Tamandua tetradactyla: one gene and its partners. The protein of the gene in region 1 interacts with the protein of each later gene in a pairwise test. Links are inferred from orthologs where the notes say so. Each region holds a gene or a part of one and is shown in the gene's direction. Other genes may lie near its edges. The genes, in order: UBQLN1, SRGN and TRIM23.

Region 1 (7,832 bases):
TTTCAGTTGAGATTTGATGGATAGGCAAAACAATGGGGCCAAAATGAGGGAGGAAAATTTCTAATTGCAATGAAAATGGCAAGGCCTTGAGGAAGAAAGCACAAAAGATGCTTGGAGATCTTAGGTGACTGGCTTGGTTGAGGACAAAATATGAGGAGCAAGGTCTTCTGGTAACATACTATGCCACAAAGTTTAGACTTTATTCTAAACTTTGGCGAGTTACTGAAGATTTTCAAGGGTGGTGGTGGTGTGTCTTGATAAAAGTTTCTAGAACAATAATATATGGCCCCATTAGAAAATAGCTTTAAGGATTGGGACTTTAGACTGAGGCAGAAGAACGTGTATGTCAGGGTCGGCTCACACTGGCTTGTGAGAACTGATTATTAAAATTTCCAGAATTTTGTGAGCCAGCGGAGCTCAAGTTGGTAGACTGACATTGGCCATGTTGTATTTTCCATAAGGAAACTGGCAAACACTACAAATCAAGGCTTGTTTGTTTCTCAGAGTCAGTTACTAAACATTTTATAATAGACATTTAGTACTAGGACACCACTGCCTATCTTCCCACCCCTAAGGAGGTTACTGCTGTAGTCTAGGCAGAGTTAATGAGGGCCTCATCTAGGCTGGTAGCAGGAGAAGCAATTTAAGATAATAGAAGTAATGCTGCAAGTGATGAATTGCCAAGTGAACTGCAGGCTTAGGTTTTCAAAAAAGGTTTCAGAGAGGAGGTAGTAACAAAGGACAGGTGCAAGGTAGGGGTAGAGACTTGAAGGCATGATAAGAAGTGAAAAAATTATAATGTGCAAATACTTCTAGCAATGATGATAAGCACATTTGACTAGAACACAGTATCTCTGCAGAGTAAAGAGAGTGAAACTTGTAGGCGGAAATAAGATTGTGGAAGGCCTTGAATTCCAAGCTAAGGAGCTGGGACTATATTTGGCAGGCACTGGAGTGCTTACTAAGGATTTTGAATAGGGTAAACATGATGAATGCATATGACCTACACCACTTATTTGACATAGGTACTGCCTTGCGCTGAAATTATGTAAATTCCTAGATACAAGATGAGTGTATTAAAAGTTTCCCAGAAGTTATGCAAGAAATTCTTGTTGAGTGATTACATTTTGTCAAAGAATTCTTCTATCATGTGAAAAATAACATCCTATCAATATACTTGAAGTATGAATATTTGAATGGATTTTTTTTCACAATGGGACAGTGGTATGTCAGGGTCGGCTCACACTGGCTTGTGAGAACTGATTATTAAAATTTCCAGAATTTTGTGAGCCAGCGGAGCTCAAGTTGGTAGACTGACATTGGCCATGTTGTATTTTCCATAAGGAAATTGGCAAACACTACAAATCAAGGCTTGTTTGTTTCTCAGAGTCAGTTACTAAACATTTCATAATAGACATTTAGTACTAGTACACCACTGCCTATCTCCCCACCCATAATAATACTTAAGGGTAGAGACTGCTTCTTATTTGTCTTTGGATATTCAACAGTATTTGAGAGTTTGTACTCAATTCACATTTGTACAATGAATAAAATACGCTCTTACAATTTTTCTCCATATTGACTATTTAATAAACAAAACCCATTTAGAAGAAAATGCTTTAACTAGACATCTACACCAGGAGTCAGCACACTGTTTTTATAAGTAAAGTTTTACTGGAATACAGCCATGCTTATTCATTTACGGTTGCTTTTGTGCTACAACGGCAGAGTTCAGAACTTGAGAAAGAGATCATATGACCCACAAAGCCTAAGATATTTACTATTTGGCCCTTTACAGAAAGAGTTTACCGACACTTGATTATGATAGATAACTATATTGTATTTTCATACAGATAAAATATTACTTCATAAAATGTGCCATATGTCTTAGAATTTTAAGAAATAAATGTGTCAACAATTACGAAGCAATTTCTTAAGTGCAAGGTTAGAAATTTACACACGGTTATTCATTTGGGGCACCAAAAAGGACACCTAATATGTAAGTGGTAAGAGGTAAATTCTTCCTGGAGAATATGACATAGGATGATGAGCAGAAGTTACGAAGATGAAGAAAAGGGGAGTCATTCCAGGCAAAGGAGACAGTCCAGACAAAAGATACAGGCAAGATACAGCAGAGGCAGGAAAAACTAGGCAATGAGGAGCTAATAAAGTTGGGAAGATATTTTGTTTAAATATATGGAAGAAGTTCCAAATGATTCGCTGTCCAATGGTGGAACTTTCTACCTTGAGAAGTCGTGATTAACTCATACCTGGACATAGTTAAGTAGTCATGCGTCTCCTTCTCAGGTCTTGTGTAATTTCTGCACGTAACAACAATGCTGCCAGAAATTTAGCTTTTATCAGATAATGTCTGTACGGCAATTTGTACTTTCAGAACTTCTCTTATAACCAAATGGGCTCCACTATAAAACTATCCTTATGCAACAGTACTTATTCCCATAATAGGACTGCTGGCTCAAGAACAGAAATGCAGGATGTATTTTTTGCATATTTGGGTCACAGAGAGTTTACGATTGTGCAGTACTGATTACTAAAGTTTATGCACTGTATTGTATACTCGTAAATCATCTTTAAGGGTAAATGATGCCATCACTTCAAGTTTAGGGTTTTCAGGAACAAAATTTCCTATTATTTGTACCTAAATTACACTGAAAATTATTTTTGATCTACCATAAAAACCACCGAAAAGTATGAAATGTAACAACTTGCTAGAGAACTATAAAATGAATACCTCAGCTCCGTTAAACTGTCCCAGTTGAGTGGGCATTCCTTGGGCATTCTGTTTTGCCCCAAACATTTTGGGGAATAGTGTTTACGGAGAATTCAGTGCGCTCGTGTAGCACTGTCAGAGCGGGAGCAAAAGTCACTTTGTCAATAGAAGTGGTATGATCCTCTGACCATACCTGGCTGACGTCAAAGCAGGATGCTTTAGGCGTGGAGCCATGACTCCGCTGGATTGCGCAGGTTGCTTACAGGCGTTTACTCCGTTTTTCTTTCGTTATGACGGGGACCTTTCTACTCCCTCCTACAAGGCAATAAGATCACGGAGTTCAAGTCTTCCAGGTATAAAAAAATTTAGCAAATTAAAATAACTACAAATATCTCCTTGCGGGAAACCCGAAGCATATAATAAAAGGCAACATGCGGTGCGGTAAACCAAGGAAACATGAAGTAAGAGAGTGGGAACGCTCCCCGGACTGCCCTCACGCACGCGCACCCGCGGCCGCAACGCCACTGGTCAAGTTCCCTTTCTAGTAACTTCGCAGCCCGTGACGTCATTTTCGTGTGCCCTTACAGCGCCTTTCAGAGCCCGCGTTTTTATTTTTTTGTGAAAGTGAAAAAAAAATGAGCTGACCTAACACATACCACTTTGCTGTTAGTCTTCCACTCCTGACACGTTTATATTTGGGGCCATGGAATGTGAGAAAAAGAGAAAAGCACCTGGAAGTCGCAACAGCGACTGCCCAGAATGACTCGGCGCCGCCGCCAGCTGCGTTTCCCAATGTGCCCCGCGCGGCGTTGGCGTAGGAAGGAGGAGGGACGTAGGGGGAGGGGCGGGGAGGAGGAAGCGGCGGCGGCTGCCGATATCGCTGCGAACTAGCGGCGTCTGAACACACCACAGCTGCTGAGGTGCGTCCCGGGTCTGAGTCGGAGCTCACACAGAGCTCCGTGGTTCCTCGCCCGCTAGGGCGGCTCTGCGCCGGTTGCCTTTGAGGCGGTGGGTTCCGCATTATCCGCTGCTCGGGCCGGTCGGCTGCGGCGTCTCCTGGCTCCACATCGCTCGCCCGCTCCCTCCTTGCTCGCCTGAGTCACAGCCGCCATGGCCGAGAGTGGTGAAAGCGGCGGCCCTCCGGGCTCGCAGGACAACGCCGCTGCGGCGGAAGGCACCGGCACTCCCACGACCGCTGCTTCCCCGGAGCCTAAGATCATGAAAGTCACGGTGAAGACTCCGAAGGAAAAGGAGGAATTCGCCGTGCCCGAAAATAGCTCCGTCCAGCAGGTGAGGGCCGCCTGGGGCTCGGGCCGGAGCAGGAGTGGGGGTGGCGGCAGGACTTGTAGCCTCCGTCGGAGGAGACGGTTTTCGAGGGGCCTGAAGAGAGGGTCGTCCCAGGAAGTGCTCTCGGCCATTCTCCTTGGCTTCATCCCAAACGAGAGCACACCTATGTCCGCGGGTTTGCGCTTTGGGATGCCACAGAGGTTTGTGGCGGGGTCGCGCGGCCTGTTTGTGGGACGCGCGGACGCCGCTTCCCTCGGCGCTTTCCTCCTGCGTCCACAGACCCACAGCCTCCTCCCCTCTCGCTCCCCGCCCCCAGCCGCCTCCCCTCCAGCTCCTCACAAAGGGAAGGGACCCGCCGCCTGGCTTCGAGCGGGGTGGAGGCTGGGCGGAGGCGAGGGTTATAACTCCTGACTCTAGTTTTTTTTCTTGAATTAAAAAAGGGGTGGGGGGGCGCTGGGAGTGCTTTGTGGTTTTTGCTGCCTCCGGGCTTAAGGTAGGTTTGGGTCTGGGTAAGGAGCACGTGCATGTTTGGTTCTGAGATTTGGCTGCTGAAATCTTTCCCACCTTCCAATCTTTTTTTAAAATACTGGCTGTGACGTATAAATTGTTTCCAGCAGCATCTCAATAGTATTAGTCTTAAGGAAAAAAGTGAGTGACTTTCATTCATTGATGAGTTACTGTTTTCTTTTTAGTATATTTATCATGTCTTAGATGCTATTCTGGGATAAGTTTATTTGTTAGCGGCGTTACTCAGATTTTGGCAATTGCGTTGGATAAAAGAAAATAAAATTGAAGTTAATGGGAAATATTGCCAAATTTACTTCTTAAAGTCTGTACAAGAATACAGATTTTGCAGACATTTTAAGAATCGATGAAATTCAAATTGTTTTAGTTCATTGTCGGGTATATCCTCGATATTTTTCTTAATTGAATTCGTCTCTATCTCAGTGTGAACAGTTAATGAAGGAAAACAATTCTTGAGATTTGCCTATAAGCAGCTTCTGGGTGGAAAGTACAGGATTGCACTATTGGTTTATTTCGTTCCATAAAGTGTTGTGGTCTGTGAGGCAAAACAGTGTAGGTAGTAACATCAACTGAGAAACTTTTATCACTATCTGAACCACACTTTTTTTTTAAATCTCACAGTGCTCATATGGGAATTTTCAACAATTTGTACTTTCCAGCACACACAAAAGTTGAAAGAATCATATGTCTGACACCCATATGTCCATCTCTTACAATGAACGTTTTGCTATATTTGTTCTATCACATATCTAAATCATTTATTGGCCCATCTTATTTTTTGGATGCTTTTCCAAGTATGTTGCAAGTATCAGTACATATCCCCCGAAAAAGTACTTCAGCAATGTACATATGATTAACTTGAGTTCTGTATTTTTTACATGTATTTCTTTAACTAAATTTGACATGCAGTTAATCATAAAAGGGCGTTACATTCCATACATTTTGACAGGTGCATACACCTCTGTAATCCAGACTCCTATTAAGATGTAGAACATAATTATTGACCATGAAATTCCTTCCTCCTTTTTCCTGCTCTGTTCACTCTCCCCTTCCATCAACCACTGTTGAGATTTTTTTTCACCGTCGTTTAGTTTTACTTGTTTTAGAACTTGATATAAATATGATCATATGGTATGTACCCTTTGAGATTCATTTTTGTGTTATCAGTGGTTCCTTCTCATTGCTGTTGTTTTCCATTATATGACTATGCTGTAATTTATTTATCCATTTCTAAGTAGAAAAATTCATTTAGGTCAATTTATGATGTGTATGTAAGGATGTTTTTGCTTTTTTTTCGGGGGGGGGGGTGGGTCGGAGCATGGGCAGGCATCTGGACTCAGGGTCTCCGGCATGGCAGGTGAGAATTCTGCCACTGAGCCACGTTGCACTGCCCTGTTTTTAATTTTTGTAATGGTGGAGTTAGAATTCTAAATTCTATGAAGTTTTTTTTTTAACCTCCCTGTAACCAAAGCAAATTTTTAATAAAGTTAAAACCTTTCTAAAGTCACTTTTCTGATGGCAGTTAATTTTTTTTTTTTTTTTTTTACCAAGTGCTTTCTTTTGAAGCAGAAAAATGGTAAAAAGTGAAGTTCACCACTTTGATCCTTAAGAACTTGAAGATGGGTTGAAATAAGTAAGGACTCTTTTAAGGGAAGCATATATATAAGGAAATGTGCAGGTATAAGAAGAGCAGTTTTCAGATGCTCTATTTCTTTTTAAAAAGCTACTTGGAGCGTAAGAGAAGACCTGTAATTTGAAGGTTTTTTAAAAGCATTTTATAGATTTAAACTATTTGTCTAATTAAAAATTGTCATTTAAAAATACCTAAAGACATTAGGAGTCCATTAAAATGTTCAGTAGAAAATTGGGAAATATTTGGTTCTGAAAATTATTTTGTCTTGTCGGGGAGGTGGGTAAGCCAGAGTCTCTCAAAGCTTAATATCGATGTCTTTTGCTTTCTATTGGGCAAATCTTTTCTACAATTTAAAATCTTTCGGTACAGGTTTCTATGTAATGTAAATTTTTAAATATATCATACTAAGGTAATATAAAACTTAGGTAAATTGTAGGAAAGAAGTTGTAAGTTGATAACTTATTTCCTATTTTTCTCTTAGTTTATGTTTGTATAACCAACAAGTAGAAACAGGTTACCTTAATTGTATGTAGTGCCATGTACAGTTGGTATTTAATAAATGTTACTTGTTGAAAATTGATAATAAAGCTTATCGCTTTTTTCGGTATTAAAGTGAAATTTATTTTTCACTGAGCACTCAATCATTGAGTAACTTTTAAATTTCTCTGTAAAGGGACTTTTGAAATATGACTTCCTGAAGTTTAAAATTAAAATATAAAGTGTACCACACATGTTTAAAGGTAGTTTCGTTAATAGGAATTTTCATAATACAAGTAAGCAGATAAATGTAATGGCACAAAGTCCCTGTGTATCAGATTGTTTTTCTGTTAATCATTATTTGCTATTAGAAGCAGCTTTGAGAATTCATAATGTCAACAAACGAAATGGTGTGTGTGTGATGAAAGTTGGTGCAGAGAATGGAGGGGGAGCTTCTGTATAACCTCCAATTAGTATGTTTTTGGACTTTTTAGCCCTCTAGATTATAGTGTAAAGTTTTGAGATACAATTACATGAAATATTGAGGCAAGCTATATTTTAGATATAAAATACAGCCTTAGAAAACCTCTGTCACTTGAAATTCTTGAAAAAATATTACTGTACTTAGACAAAGTATAAGTACTGTATTAAATCTGATTGAACCTTTCTTCCATAAGGGCAGTTACAGTGTCTCACAAACATCATTTAAAGTTAAAATCTGTTTTGTTGATCTAGAAAGAACTTTACTGTCTACTTTGGTATTACCAGTAATATACAGATACTGGGCACTTAATATGTATGTGGCTAGATGGAATTGAATTTAGATGTGCTATAGGTGTAAAATATACTCCACATTTTGTAAACTTGCTATGAATAAAACAATGTGAAATATCTTGAAATATCTTATTAAGTTTTAAATGTGTTATATATTGAAGTGATAATATTTTAGACATATTACATTTAATAAAAAATAATGAACATTAATTTGATCTATTTCTTTTTACTTTTTCAATGTGGCTACTTGAAAGTTTAATATTAAATATGTGACTTGCATTATATCTCTATTGCACGGGCCCTTATCCAGAAGATTGGAATGAATCAGTTGTTGTAAAACATTTAAGGAAAGAGTGTCTGAGATCAGTGTTTTATTTGCTTTACTGTAATACTAGGCTGCTGAGA
Region 2 (7,832 bases), on another chromosome or scaffold:
TCTTCCCTTGCAAGTTTTGGTTCTTCAAGGCCTATAATTTTGGAATTGGGATATTCTGCTAGGTTCTAGGTGGCATTTGAGAAGTTCTTCTATGCCTTGTTTTTCTTCTGTTCAAAGTACAAACCCAAACCATGAGGGGAGGGACGCTCCACCCCCTCACCCCCCCCACCCCACCCTTTCCCAGCACAAGATTAAAACAGAGTTCCCAAACTGTTAGGCGCTTGGCAACACTACGGAGGCTTCTGGCCTAGGCCCAGTAAGAAATCTGGCCCTTGGGAAGCTGGATGTGAGGCTGTCATGTTGAGAAGGGAAGAGTTAGAGAAGGAGGCACAAGGGGTCCGGCCAGGGATGCTCTTGAGCCTCTTTCCAGGGGTCCTTCCTTTGTTAGTTGGTGAAGAGACCAAGAACACTAATGGTAGCTGCTTCTTTGGGACCAGAAGCATCAGTACATTTTTGTCTTTGTCACAGTCTCTTCACTTCAGTTGGGGATGAGAGTAGGATTGAAAGAATGGGAAACTTGAAAGTACCTGAAAGCCAAGGCCAAGGATAAATAAGTTGCTTTTTAAATAAACTAGACTTTTGTTGTTGGTTTTGCAAGTTCCCTTTTTTTTTTTTTTTTGAACATGGGCAGGCACCGAGAAACGAACCCGGGTCCTCTGGCATGGCAGGCAAGCATTCTTACCTGCTGAGCCACCGTGGCCCGTCCGCAAGTTCCCATTTTTAAATTAAGAGATGGTTTCTTGTTTGTATAGATTCCAAAGAAGACAATACCTTTTTTTAATCTTTTTTTTTAAACATGGGCAGGCACTGGAAACTGAACCCAGGTCTCTAGCATGGCAGGTGAGAACTCCGCCTGCTGAGCCACCGTGGCCCACCCACCTGAGATAATACCTTTTTAAAAGGATGATTTTTAAAAACTTTCATTGAAATTCTCAAACATGTATAAAAGCAGGGAGAATACTATAATGAACTTGCATTTATCCATTTGCTCAGCTTCAGCAATTATCAACCCACCACTCATCCCCTCTCCTTAAACCGGATTATTTTGGAGCAAATCCCAGTCATCTAATCATTTCAAACATAGTCTTAGCTTCTCAGTTGTTAAATAAATACCAAATGATGGGTTGGCTTAAACAAAGTTTTAAGGCTAGGAGAAGTCTAAAATCGAGGCATCAGCAAGACAATGCTTTATCTCCAAAGACTGGCGCTCTGGGCCTGGCCGCTAGAGATCCTTGGTTCTTGGCTCTTCTGTCACATGGCAGTGGACATGACTCTTTTGTCCAATTTCCTTTGTGAGATGAACTTTAGCCATATTGGATTAAGGCCCATACTCATTCAGTTTGGGCACACCTTAACTGATAGCATCTTCTAAGGTCCTCTTTACAAATGGCTTCACATGCGCAGGACCAAAGTTGGAATATTAACCTGCCTTTTGTGGGGAACATGATTTAATCCCCAATACTACCTTAGGTGTGTCTAAAAGGAAATGATTAAATGGAAGACTTTTGATTGTTTAAAATTTTGTACCCCCTTCATTCCTCTCTTTTATTCAGTGGCTTATAAATTAAGAAACTTGAGTTCTCGTCTTGGTTTTGCCATTCACTAGCTGTTCTGTGTGACCAGGGGCAAGTCATGTAACTTTTCTGGACTTGGGTTGTTTCCCATGAATAGGAAAACTAGATGATTTCTAAGTTCTAGATCTAAAATTTTTTGCAAGGATTGTCTTTTAGGCTTAAGGGACAGATTTGGTACAAGTTCAATCTGCTTTTTTTTTTTTTTTTTTTTGGTGCAATGCCCAGTTCAGATTGAAGACCTTCTGAATAAAGAGCCAAGAAAAAGTCCTAGAGGGAGTTTCCTGGTAGAATCTTTCACTTGGGCCTTTAGAAAAAGAAGTGAGCCTTGAAGCCATCCCTGGAGCAGCTGTCTGCTCCCCTCCATCTCTCTTCTGAAAACCTCAATTCATCTTAACAAATATTCTGCTGAAGTGAGACGCTGGGAAGGTTCATGCTCTCTACACAGATTCACCGTTTACAAAGAACACTCTGAAACCAAAAGCTAGTGAAAAGCGATGTTGATAACTCCTTTTTGGTGGTTATATTACTTTCTTAGACAATGAGGAACTCATTTCTGCCATGTTGCAGGGTGATTGTTAAGGAATAAGGTTATACATTTTACAGGCAAGTCAGTTGAATGTGAAGTCAAGTAGGTGCATTTAAGGTTGCCTGGCATGTGATGGGTTAATTCTGGAATAGATTTGGTCTTTCAAATTTATGGAAAACAAGCTTTTAGAGAATGGAGAAAACTTTGGGCAAGAAGCTGATATGCAGCCTGGAGGAGCGCTGACCACTGCACCCTCGCCCTGGTTTCTCCCACCCTTGTTAGCACAGTGGAAGTGTGAAAAGTTAGGCGGCCGGCCTCACCCAGCTGGTAAGTAAGGGAAACAGGCTCCGACCCAGGACTCCTGGTTGCTGGTGTGCATTTGTTCTGCTCCTCTGTGCTTGAGAAAGAACGAAGGAAATGAGCCTGGAGGGAGTGTTCTTAGAAAAAGAAACATTTGTCATTGTGGTGGAAGAAGGGCAAATGCTTATGAATACTGCAAAGTTTGGTTGTTTTTTTTTAAATCACCAAGACTGAAGAAAGGGAAAATGAAGTATCCAAATGGGAAAAGCCCCCCTCCCCCCACCCCTACCCCCAGTTACCATTTTGAAGCACAAGCTTTAATAGCTCTAAGAGTTTACTAGGGTACTTATTGAAGCTTATTGACAGGAACTATTGTTTTGGTGCCTAGGTTTTCAATCGGGGGTTAGAATGAAAAGTAACTGAAGACGTTATATATCAGGTGGAAACCGATATTCCAGAGAGGGGAGTTCGCTGGGCTTGTGAGTTGGGGGTTGCTGCACTCTGAGGAGTCCCGGGATTGCGGGATACACTTATGCATGGTTCTGGGAAGGCTTATGAGGAGGGTTAAAATGTGCATTCTTTGCCTCCTTCCACAGCTACTCAGTGATAAGATTCTGAGGCCTGTCCTTAGCAGGAAATGGTAAAGGAAGTCTAAAACAAGAGAAGGGAAACTCCTCCCTCCTATCAAAGAACAGGCAAGAGTGTGGAGGAAAATGGAAAGTGATGCATATGTACTAAACTGTCTGGGGGAGCTGGAGGGACAGATGGGACTGAAATAAAAAGTGACAGAATACTGAAAGGAAGTAAGAAGAAAGTGTGTCCCCAAGTGATAAACTGTTGTATTTATCGTGTTCATTAATATGGAGTCTGTACCGGGTAATCCTGGGGGACAAGGCTGTTTCTTTATTTGAGGGGTGGGGGTGTGTCTTCTGAAGCCCAGCAGCTTGGTTCAGTGAGCTGTGCTCCTCTTTGATGAGAAAGAAAATCGAGAACATTTTCTGTTGAAGGTGCTCAGTGATGAAGAGTTGGTTAGCTCCTTATCTCATCAATAGGCAGTAGAGTCTTCATGTTAGCAATCTCCTGTGTAGGTTGTGACCTGAAGAAAGCAAAAACAAACTGCCCTGAATGCTGATTCTACTGTTTCGGTGGGGAAAAAAATTTTAACAGGCAAGTGGCAAACAACAGAACTTTTGAAAAAACCGACCTGGGGAGAGTCCAGTACAGTTTCATAATGGGTATGAATAGTTGTTTTGCTGCTGCTGCTTTTTTTTTTTTTTTTTCTTTTCTTTCTAGATTTTCATGTGGATCTCTTTTTATTTGTTCAGGAAATCGTGACGTGCGTTCTGGGCAGGGTTTGAGGTTTCGGAACCTTGTCTAAAAGGGACAGCAAGCACTCTGCTTACGGTTCCTGGTCGTGGGGTGGCTGTGCTTCGGCGGGGCCAAGCGTGCTGTGCTGGTCACCATGCGGGGCTTCCTCTCCAGCAGCGGGCTTGTCCTGGCCATCTCCCTCGTCCTGTTTTGGGAATCTTCAGTTCAAGGTAAGATCCAGGATTGGCTGTTTTTCTTTGTGAACTCTAGCCCCCATATAAATGTTTATATTCACACTAACGTACAGAATTTTTCATATTGTGAGAACGTAAGTGGGGTTTGGGGTGGCTGATCTCCTTGGAGTGAGTTCAGCTAAGTTTGGTACCAAGAAAAATTAAAATTCTGAATGAAGCAGGTGCAGCCTTTTGAGGTCTTGCAATGGCTGAGCTTTATTTGGGGATGGAAATGTGTGGCTTATAAAAAAGCTTAAGAAAGGAAGATAGAAAATATCCCATGTGTCTGTTGTAAGGAAAAGACGGCATCTTTGAGTGTTTTTGGAGTATCTATATACCTACCCCTGAGTTTCTATATCAATTCCGAATTGTACTGCATAGTGGTGATGTCATTTATTTTAACACTGGGAACTACTATTTCTTAATAGGGGTGAGTTTGGCTTTTTCTCCTTTCAATTTTAACTTAATTCTTAGTGAAAAATCACCTATGGTTATACATACATAATTAATGCAAACTCTCTCAAATTTCAAATAATTTTAATATTTGCTCTGGTGCTTAGAGAAATATCACATTTGGAAATTTCTTTTTAAGTTTAGAGTTACTTAGGCAGAATCTACTTAAAAACCTTCAATGACCAAGAAAACAAAAATGGTCAATTTGTAAGAAGAATATAATTTCTTCTCTGTAAACAAGGGATCATGTCTAAGTAAGGCAGAAGGTTGTGGTCTGCTACATAGATGGCAGAATTTATAGTAGAAAAACATTAAGTTCCCCCAAGATGTAAAGGAAATGTTGAGTCACAGTGACACACATGCCCAGGATTTTTTTCTTTGAAGTAACTTCTAGTTGTCATGTTCTTACTTCCGCTGGAAATGAAATCTTGTAGATGATTTCAGATATACATTCATTATATATTAGAAGCTTTAATTCAGTAAGTAATGTTACTGAAACTTTTCCATTAATTTGTATATATATATTTAAAATATAAAACTTTGTCAATTGTAGGGAACAGGCTTTATTTGTATCTTTTGGGAGACATTTTCAGCTTTTTTGATGAAAAAATTTCCTAGAACCATGTGCTCTAGACAAGATCAAGAACAGTGGGATTCCCCTATGAAACGTATTCCTGAAAGGACAGGTTAAGCCTACTTAAAATTAGGCCTGTCACCCCCCAGAGAACCTCTTTTGTTGCTCTGATGTGGCCTCTCTCTCTAAGCCGACATAGCAGGTGAACTCACTGCCCTGCCCACCACACACAGGGCATGACTCCCAGGGGTTTGGATCTCCCTGACTACGGGGGACAGAAATCCTAGAATGAGCTGGGACTCAGCATCAAGGGATTAAGAAAACCTTCTCGACCAAAAGGGGGAAGAGTGAAATGAGACAAAATAAAGTGTTAGTGGCTGTGAGATTTCAAATAGTCAAGAGGTTATCCTGGAGGTTATTCTTTTTTTTTTCTCTCTCTCTTTTTAAAATTTTTATTAATAAAACCAGTCAACATACAATATGAACATTCTTTTTTTCATCACATAGTTGTATATTCATCATCATGATCATTTCTTAAAACATTGCATCAATTCAGAAAAAGAAATAAAAAGAAAACAGAAAAAAAATTCATACATACCATACTCCTTACCCCTCTCTTTCACTGATCACTAGTATTTCAAACTAAATTTATTTTAACATTTGTTCCCCCTGTTATTTATTTTTATTCCACATGTTCTACTCGTCTGTTGACAAGGTAGATAAAAGGAGCATCAGACACAAGGTTTTCACAATCACACAGTCCCATTGCGAAGGCTACATCATTTGGGCGCACAGGTGGTTCAGTGGTAGAATGCTCGCCTTTCATGGAGGTTATTTTTATGCATTTTATAGATATCCCTTTTTAGTTAATGGTGTATTAGAGTGGATGGAGGAAGCACCTGAACTGTAGAGCGGTGTTCCAGCAGCCTTGTTGCTTGAAACAAAAAATGTTCCTTATGTTTCATTATAAATAAAGATGAAAAAAGAAACCAAAGCAATATGAAATTGTATAAAATACTGGCATTTATATCATCGCTTGGTAGATTTAGATTTTTGTTGGAAAAGAAAACTGAAAAAGAGGCAATAAATGAGCTGAAGAACTAGGGAGGTTCCAAAGGAGAAGCTTCCTTCGTGCTGTACTGACAGGTGCCACCATCTGAATGCTAAAAGGAACAGATGCCCACAGCTGCCTGTAGGAGCCACAGCAACACACAGCGACAACGCCAAGAGCCATGCCATTTCATCATACATCCTCGAGGCGCCAAACATGATTTGACGATTCTTCCTCAACTTTTTAAAAACAATTCTACTCAACCCGTTGATTTGGCTGAACTGATCATATTAATGAGGCTTATGGGAAGGCACTGGGAAATGAACTCTGGTCTCCAGCATGGCAGGCAAGAATTCTGTCTGCTGAGCCACCGTGGCCTGCCCGTAATTTGCTTTTACTGAGCATATTCAAAGCGTCTTATGTCACTGTAAGGCAATCCTAAGTAATAACCTGGGGCAAAACCCCGTCTACCTGTTGCAAAGTCAAATACAAGTGTGGCAATGTGTGTGAGACCCGGGAGAGCATAGGTGTCTATTTAATTTAGAGCTCAGAGGAGTATTGATAAGGCTGTAAGTCTTAAACTCTAATTGAAGTTCTTTTCTTCAAAGATGAACATAAAGAGAGAAAATGGAAAAATCTATGATTGCAGCCTCAGGACTCAGGGCCAGACCAAGTGTCCACCCGACTTGTCTCCTAGGTCACAGTGCTGTTAGTAATTCCCTACACAGGCCGCGATGTCTGCAAAGTGACCACATCCTTGCTTGGGGATGATCATCACATTCCCTGCAAGGAGGAATTTAGCACCAATTTATGGACAAGAGAACTGGTTGCTACACCCATCATTTCATTTCTTCTTTATATTAATCTCATGCAAAAAGTTTAAGAGACTTGCCTAAGGCACCCAACAGTTACTTAATGGCAGAGTTAAGGAACTTTCCGGCTGCAATTTGGCCTTCCCTAGACAAAAAACAAAAAGCTTTCCTTTGACAATAGCCCTGCCTGTGATGTTTACCCGTGAGTTGAGGGATAGTAGGGAGAAATTGAAAATAGATTTCCACTCTTTTTATAATTTTGTCAAACTGTGCAAATGTTGGGGAGTCTTATCTACTTTTAGGCAAGTAGGTAGCAACTAAGCTATGATGCTGTTCTTTACATGCTACTGTTATGAATGAATCAAAAACGGTCTTTCTTTAGGATTGCAGTTTCTGCTTAAATTTCTCTGTTATGCGTGCAGTAATTCTTCCTTAAGGTAAGAAAATTAGTAAATTGGCACTATGGGGAAAATTTGGTACTACAATATAAAAAGATAAAGAGACTACTGGGGAAAGCTGTTTGCCCCGGTGACATTTCCTTATAAAAAGTATTTTGGTAAAACAGAACTAGTGACCTTTGGGGGTGTGTGTGTGTGTGGGAGGGGGGCATTGAGAATAGGGATTCTCATTAAAAATCATTCTTTCCCCTGGAATCCACCACAAAATTAACCAGCATGTGCTATAAACGGGACCTTTCTGTCCAAGAGCATACTTCCTTTTTATTTTTAAAATTAGGATAATCATAAGACATTTTCCTCAAGCAAGGTGGAGTCAAGATATTCTCACATTAACAGACAGTGCCCGTTGGTGAATTTTCACATGCTGGCCACTCTTCTCAAATAAATATCTCAGGAATTTTGTGTTTTAAAGAACATTTAAAACCCTTAGTCCCAAATTAGGCTTTCTCGCTTTTATTTCTTTATGTTTTAAAAGCTGAGATTCTGAACTCTGGGGGGATTTTGTATTTTAGAAAAAAAAATTTTTTTAAAGCATACTCTACC
Region 3 (7,832 bases), on another chromosome or scaffold:
AAGCACTCATCTTTCTAGGCTGCTTGAATACTCTTTTCCAGATATTTCCTGTTCTGGAAAATACAAGAATAACAGAAACCTAAAAGTTCCCAATGGCAGTTAGCCTCTATATTGGTGAATTTCAACTGTATTTAACAGCTCCTAATTTTTATAAAATCCACTCAAAAGCTAATAGGCTTGTTTCAGTGTTGCATCCAAGTAATGGGTAAGGCAATAATCTCTGAAAATACTATTTCTTAATTTAGGAGGCAACACAGTATCTTGGAAACTGGGAACCCACCTTGTGTTGAAATACTGGCTCAGTCACTTAGCAGCTTTGTGATCTTGATAAAGATACTCAGCATATGATTTGTGAGATTAAGAGATAAAGAACACGACAATTGGTTCCTTTTTCTCTTTTCCCTTTTCTCCACCTATATCCCATTCCAGTCCATATCATTTGCTCAGGCTAAGCTTACAGGTTACATCACTATGTTATTTACCATTGCAGAGCTTCCTTACTTCAACAGTTAGAGGGTTCCATTAACTCCCTATGTTACCAATGGAACTGGTGAGCTTCTGGAATGTTTGTTGACTGCAGCATAACAGGGGAATGCCTGTTATGATCCCTCAAAATGGATGCCATAAGGAAGATAAGTACAAGTCAAATGAATTAAAATGCCCATTGAGCACTTGTGTAGCTCAATCCAAAAATGTATCCACATATTAGAGCATCTTAAAAATAAAAAGTGCATTTGTGATAGTAAAAAACATGAATTAAGGCCGGAAACACTTCAAATAAAAGGTCTTCAGAAACCAATAGGAATTCCAGGAAAACCTTAAATTCCTGCTGTTTTTTCTCTTAAATAATGACCTAATTAAATCGTTAAACTTACTCAAAAATTGTTTTTAGGTGTACAAAAATAGAAAATTGACATGAGATCTTGGACCTATTTCCCCTATACATAATGCTTTGAAATAAAGTAAGTTTTAACAAACCTCAGCTATATGGTGTAATACTGTGTATTTCTAAATCCTTGGCACTGTTGTCATAATACTACACTAATTTTACAGAAGAAGCTGCAGCCCGGTAACTCTGTCAGTGCCACACGAAGAGACCTGAGACTATGAAAAGCACTTTGGATGCACGCTGTAAATCACCCTCGTTCAAGGGGGAAATCACCAAACAGAGTCCATACAGCAGGTTCTGCGGTTAAATTCTGCTTGATGATCGCACGGGCATGATCAGAGAGGGTAATGTACGAGGTGTCATTCCATTCTAGAGGGCGGCTCTCAAGCCTAAAAAGCGAAGAAGCGAAATCGCTTCCTCCCGCTCGGTCCCTTGGCGCAGAGCAGGAGGCACAGCCCTGACGCCGTTTTAAGAAAGGCGAGGACTACACCTCAGACGCCAAGTCTACATGTCAAAGGCTTCAAGAATCAGTGAGAAAAAGGAAACAAACAAACAAAAATAGAATAAGGGGCGTCAAGTTAGCAATACTTTACCCTTCAACGCCAGCAGGTGCTCCTGTTTGGGGGGATTCACCTCCATCTTGACCGGTACCACCGCCTACGGGGGCCGCAGAGGTTCAGCCCGGCCCAGAAGAAAACACGGAAGCGCGCGCTCGGGAAGCCCGCGCGTCAAACACTTCTAACAGCTTCTCAGCCAGCGGTGCCTTAAATTCTCCCTCTACCCCGTTCTTTAGGGCTCCAACAGCTTCTTTTCACCAAAGGTAATCCCTGTCTCTTAGATATCTATACATGAAATACTTCTCCATATTCAGGCTACAACCGCATATCAAACCACTTCCAGGTAACCATACACCGCCGCCCAGATGCCCTCCCCAGCGAGTAAGCAGCGAGGCGCGGCATGCTGGGATTTGTAGTTCTTATAATGCCGCATTGCATTTAGGGGAATGTAGTTCCTGCGCCCGGTCTGGCAGTGGGGACGAGACTTCTTTACAAAAGCGCAAGTTTCACTCACAGATTTTACTTCTGTCTTATCCCATCCTTTTTTCTTGACTTTCTTTCCCCTAGCAGGTGCACATTCCTTAATACCAGTCAAACAATAAAAACAGAGCGAACAAAACGCGGCGCGCGGAGAACCGGTCCGCGGCCGCCGGCCGGGCGCGCGCAGCGTCGTCCCGCGCCCCACGCCGGCCGCGGTCGCCGAGGCGTCTGGGTAGGTGGCTCGCCTTCGCCGCCGCGTTGAAGCCCGTGAAGGCTGCTTCTGCCGCTCCGCTGCGCCCAGGATGGCTGCCCTGGTTGTAAACAAGCCCGGCGCAGGTCTAGACAGCGGCCGGCAGGGCAGCCGAGGGACGGCCGTGGTGAAGGTGAGGGACCTGGCGTGCTCTGTCCACCGTCGGCCTCCGTTTCTCGGGGCTCGTCCCGAAAGCCTGGCCCAGGCGTGGAAGGGAAGGGTGCGGGGCCTCTGCGCCCCCCGGGCGTGCCGAGCCGTGCGCTGCTCTTCGCGACCCGAGGTCCGCTGGCCCGAGATTGTCTGGTCTCCTGCTCGGACCGGCCCTGTGCTGGACGTCGCCAGCGGGGACGTTTCTGAAAAGGAGATTGTGGGAGTGACCCGAGCTGCCTGTGCCCGGGTTTTGGCTTACCGTAACAGGCATTAGTTCGCTTATTGTTTATTAAATTGGGATATTGTGAGGTAGTGTTAGGTGCTTTCGGTCGTTAATATCTGTGAGGCCGATGTTGATCCCCGTTTTACAGATGAGGATTTGATTTGGGGTAGGTGGCAGTGTGCGGTAGAGCCAGGGTTGGCGGCTTCTGAAGTGTGCACGTCTCCCCGCTGCACTGGTTCTGTACTGCGGTGTCTATTCTTGGTTGAACTGCCTCCTCCGCACTTGGTAGTGCCGTCCGTCCGCGCTTAAGGAGTCTCCAGTTGCAGCGTTGCACGGCCTTAACGCTAGTGTTTGTGAATTACGGTGTGTATGTAAGTAGTCCAAAATGCCTTTGTTAAAAATCCGCCTGAAATACGTGGGACTCATTTTTCCTCTTGGCATGTATCTATCTATCTATATATGGAATTGAAGACTTGATTTCAGTGGCTGTTAGAGAGACCTTCAGGATCACCTGAAATCTAAGGAATTGGTATTTCTCATCCCTGGCTGCGTATTAGAATCACGGAAGAGTTTTTAACAGCTGCAGATGCAATCCTCCTTCCCCAATGCTGATTCATTTGTTATTAGCATCTTTTTAAAACCCGCTGAGGAGATTGTAATTGCAACCAGGGTTGAGAACCACTGGGCCAGATAATATCTGAAGTTATTTTAAGGTCTTGAATGATACCTGTGATTTTTCACCTAATGTTTTTTTTATGACAGTAAATGATGCATTTCTGGCCACAGTTTAGCATTAATCAGTTTTAGTAGTTGATGATTTATGTAACTGTTATATACTAATGAAGTTATTCTGAAGGTACACAGCATAACCGAGATGTAGATATTATTACTAGGCATATTGTATGGTTGAGATTTTATTTATTGTGCTTTTTCTGAGGGCATACCTGCAGATTATTTTGAGAATCAACTTTAAGAAATTTTATACTATAACTGAAATGGGTATCATTGCTCTATTTTTGTTATCCTGTTATAATATCAAAAGTATACTATAGTCTGATATAACTCCAGTTTGTTATAGCACAAATTGAATTTCTTAGAGTCTTATTTTATTCATTTTGTTCTTTAAATGTAAAATATATTGGTCCCATGCACGAAGTAGACCTTTTTGGCAAGATGGTCATGCCACAATTCCTAAACAAATATGGTGCTATGAATTTAAAAATCTTTTTATCATTTTCATAGATGAATGTAAGAAGTATTCATTAATACTTAATACATTAATACATTAAAGGTCAAGCGTAAAATACTAATAATATATAACATGGCTTTTTTTAGTCTTTTTTTTATTGTGATAGTATATATAACACAGAAGTTCCCATTTTAGCCATTTTTAAGTTATACTGTACTAGTATTAATTAAATTCATGTGCTACCATCGCATTCATTCATTACCCAAACTTTTCTCCCACTCCAAACAGAAACGTTTTACACATTCTTTCTTTCCTTAGCCCCAGCAACCTTTGATCTACTTTCTGTCTCTATGAATTTGCTTATTCAAGATATTGCATGTAAATGGAATTCTATCTTTGCTCCTTGTGTCTGCTTGTTTCACTCAACATAATACTTTCAAGGTTTATCCAGGTTGTAGCAAATACATGTAGAATTTCATTCCGTTATATGGTTGAACAATAGTTTGTTGTACTTATATGTCATGTTTACCCACTCATCTGTCGATGGACCCTGGGGTTGTTTCCACTTCTTGGCGATTGTAAATAATGCGGTTGTGGTCTCTGATTTCAATTTTGAGTCCTTCTGTAAGTTGTTTTGGGGTATCCATTGGACTGGAATTGCTGGGTTATAATGTTAATTTTATGTTTAACTTTTTGAGGAACCCCCAGTCTTGGCCGCAGAGAGTACACTATTTTAAAGTCCTACCAACAATGTATAAGTATTCTAATTTCGCCATATCCTCACCAATTTTTATTTTCTCTTCAAGTAATAAACATCCTAGTTTGTGTGAAGTAGTTGTGGTTTTGATTTTCTTTTCACTGGTGACTAATGATGTTGAGCATCCTTTTATGTGCTACTTGTCCTTTTATATATCTTCTTTGGAGAAATATCTGTTTACGTCCTTTGTTCATATTTTGATTGGGTTGGTTGTCTTTTTGTTGTTGAGTTGTAGCAGCAGATATGTGATTGGCAATTATTTTCTCCCAGTCTACAGGTTCATTTTAATTTCTTGATAATGTGTTAATGTACAAATGTTTTAATTTTGATGAAATTCAGTTTATTTCGTTGTTGTTGTTCATATTTTTGATGTCACGTCTAAGAAATTGTTCCCAAATCCAAGGTCATGAAAGCTTTCCCTTATGTTTTTTCCAAGACTTTTATGATTTTTCTCTTATATTTAATATGGTTTCTTGCTTAATGAACAAGTTGACAATGATAGAGTTAAAACAAAGACATTAAAATTAAATAATTTACATTAAAAAGAAATCCCAGAAAGTTTATTTTGATTAATGATCCTTCTTAGTACTTTTTATTTATTTTTTAAGATATTTGTACTGAGAAATCTTCACACGTATACAGTCCATCCATAGTACACAATCATTGGCTCACAATATCATCACATAGTTCCTTATTCATTACCATGATCATTTTTAGAACTTTTGCATTTCTCCAGAAAAAGAAATAAAAAGAAAAAGGAAAAAACGTATGCATCTCATACCCCTTACCTCTCCCTCTTACTGACCATTGGTATTTCAATCTACCCCAATTTTTTTACCCTTTATCCCCCATGTTATTTATTTATTTCCTTATTTTCTTATTTTTTAAATTCATCTGTCCATATCCTGGTTAAAAGGAGCATCAGACACAAGGTTTTCATAATCACATGGTCACATTGTAAAAGCTATATAGTTATACAGTCGTCTTCAAGAATTAAAGCAACTGGAACGCAGTTCAGCAGTTTCAGGTACTTCTATCTAGCCACTCCAATACATCATAAATTTAAAAGAGATATCTATATAATGCAGGATAAACTTGATAAACTCTTGACTCTTTTTGAAATCTCTCAGCCACTGAAACTTTTCTTTGTCTTTTCCCTTTTGATCAAGAAGACTTTCTCAATCCCATAATGCTGGGTCCTGGTGTATCCCTGGAGTCATGTCCCACGTTGCCAGGAGATTTACATCCCTGGGAATCATGTCCTGTGTAGGGGGGTGGACAGTGAGTTCACCTGCTGGATTGGCTTGGAGAGAGAGGACACATCTGAACAACAACCTTCTTAGTACTTTTAAAGTCTGGTCTGGTTTATGAAAATTTTATTTACCTGTTGATAGCCCTCTTTAGCATGTTCGTGAAGTTTATTGATTTATAAAATTAGTAGATTTTTTTTTATATCTAGGACCTAATTTCTTATGCTGTTAGCCATAATTCCTATTTATAAATACTGAAGAAAGGATTTCTTGCTCTGCTATTTATCAAATTGATACAAATAGTCTAGTAATCTTGTTTTTGGACCTGTGTTTGGTTTTCTAAGTAATGGAATTTTATTCATGTTTTTTGAAAAAATTATGGTAGCAACATAATTTTTTTTATCTTGTTTATTGATGAGGTCAGATATGTAAGATATTAGTTAAGTATAAATGAACTAAGTAAAATTTTTATTTATTTCTTTGTAGTCTATTGTCATAGATCAGTTTGATTTATATCACAATAAATGAAAATATTTATAAAACTTGTTACTTTTATTTCATAATACCTAGTTCTATTGTGAATATCTTTCCTGTATTTAATTCAGTTTGAGTGGGAATAGATAGATGTTTAAGTAAACTTTTTGTCCTCTTTTTTTTAAATGTAAGATAAATTGAAGTGTATATGTATAATATGTATAATTTTATGGGTAGCCCTTCCCCAGCTACTCATATCCCTTCCTCATATGGAGCCAAACTTTTCTATGTATTCTTCTAGAAAGACTTAAGTATTTATGCTCTCTCTCCTGCACCTTACACAAATTAAATATATTCTGTATACGGATTTTTACTTTGCTTTATTCATGTGGAAATCGTTCTGTACATGTACATAAAGAACATCTAACTCTTCCTCATTAGACTGCATAGTTATATCCATGTGTATTTAAGTTGTTTCTATTCTTTTGCTAATACAAAACTGTTATAAGGAGGGCAGGCCGAGGTGGTTCACTGGCAGAGTTCTTGCCCGCCATGCAAGAGACCGGGTTCACTTTCTGGTGCCTGCCCGTGTGAAAAAAAAAAAAAAATGTTATGGGGAATAACCTCGTATAGAGGCCTTGTCACAGGCAAGATGTATTTGCAGTTAAATTCCTGGAATTGAAATTACTGAATTATTTAAACTTCTGATATATATATATAGCCAAATTGCCTTCAATAGAGACTGCATCAATGAATGAATATTTCATAGCAACCAGCAGTGTATGAGTGTCTGCTTCCCGCACTTTCACCAACACAACGTGTTATCAGCCTTTTTGATCTAACCTGAAAAAAGATATCTTGGTGTAGTTTTAACTTCCATTTTTCTTATTGAATGTCTTTCATATATTTAAAGAGTATTTTCATTTCCTTTTCTGTGAACTATGTGTTGGTATTTAGACTTTTTTGACCCATACTGAGATGCCAGGCAACCATGAATTGTCAATTTACAATGAAGGATGATTGATTTCAAAGAGTAAGGCCAAGTTAATTGTAGAGTTAAGTTTAAAATGTTAATGGATTTAGTCAGGATATTCTTTTTTTTTACTTTGCTTGTATGTGTGTTGGGGTGCATAGAGGTGGTTCTAGCCAAATTGTTTTTAAATTTTTATTTATTAGAAGACTTTATTTATGTGGGCACATACTAGGTACTTTTGTATTTGTATTTCAGAGACCCTGTTTCTGAGGGCTGTCTGGTTGAGCAGAGAAGGACAGGCTGTAAAGCCAATATAATGGCACTAAACTGTTTGAAATATTGTAGTGATCCATAGTACATGAGGACCCAAAGAAAAGAGTGATTATTTTTAGTTGGGCTGAGCTGTGGGTACACCTGAGATACAAAGTTATTTAGGAGTTGGCTGGCTTATTAAAAGTAAAAAAGAATCCACTAGGAAAATGTCTGTGTAGCATTTCTGAGATTTAGCATAAAGAAAGAGGCATGAAACAGTTTGCCATGTTCTGGGAACTAAAAGCTGTTTGATAAAATTAGAGCATAGGTTCTAAAGGACTTGGCAATAAAGTAATAGGATAGGGGCCTGATCAGCAGAATTGGGAAT

What was found.
Region 2: the proteins of UBQLN1 (region 1) and SRGN interact in binary tests that used the Homo sapiens proteins (3 or more experiments, as listed by UniProt). The two-hybrid records come from large-scale screens. The link is inferred for Tamandua tetradactyla from reciprocal best matches to the Homo sapiens genes UBQLN1 and SRGN.
Region 3: the proteins of UBQLN1 (region 1) and TRIM23 interact in binary tests that used the Homo sapiens proteins (3 or more experiments, as listed by UniProt). The link is inferred for Tamandua tetradactyla from reciprocal best matches to the Homo sapiens genes UBQLN1 and TRIM23.

What each region holds. Positions count from the first base shown.
Region 1 is NC_135328.1:116,704,224-116,712,055, forward strand, and holds the start of UBQLN1 (ubiquilin-1), read left to right. Parts: upstream 1-3,752; 5' UTR 3,753-3,841; coding exon 3,842-4,021; exon of another isoform or gene 4,022-4,310; intron 4,311-7,832. Other genes in the region: uncharacterized protein LOC143673720, read right to left, coding at 2,991-3,046, 3,377-3,752. UniProt on the Homo sapiens protein: Plays an important role in the regulation of different protein degradation mechanisms and pathways including ubiquitin-proteasome system (UPS), autophagy and endoplasmic reticulum-associated protein degradation (ERAD) pathway.
Region 2 is NC_135339.1:28,094,377-28,102,208, reverse strand, and holds the start of SRGN (serglycin), read left to right. Parts: upstream 1-3,736; 5' UTR 3,737-3,862; coding exon 3,863-3,938; intron 3,939-7,832. UniProt on the Homo sapiens protein: Plays a role in formation of mast cell secretory granules and mediates storage of various compounds in secretory vesicles. Required for storage of some proteases in both connective tissue and mucosal mast cells and for storage of granzyme B in T-lymphocytes.
Region 3 is NC_135335.1:113,427,512-113,435,343, reverse strand, and holds the start of TRIM23 (E3 ubiquitin-protein ligase TRIM23), read left to right. Parts: upstream 1-2,152; 5' UTR 2,153-2,228; coding exon 2,229-2,309; intron 2,310-7,832. Other genes in the region: TRAPPC13 (trafficking protein particle complex subunit 13), read right to left, coding at 1,483-1,528.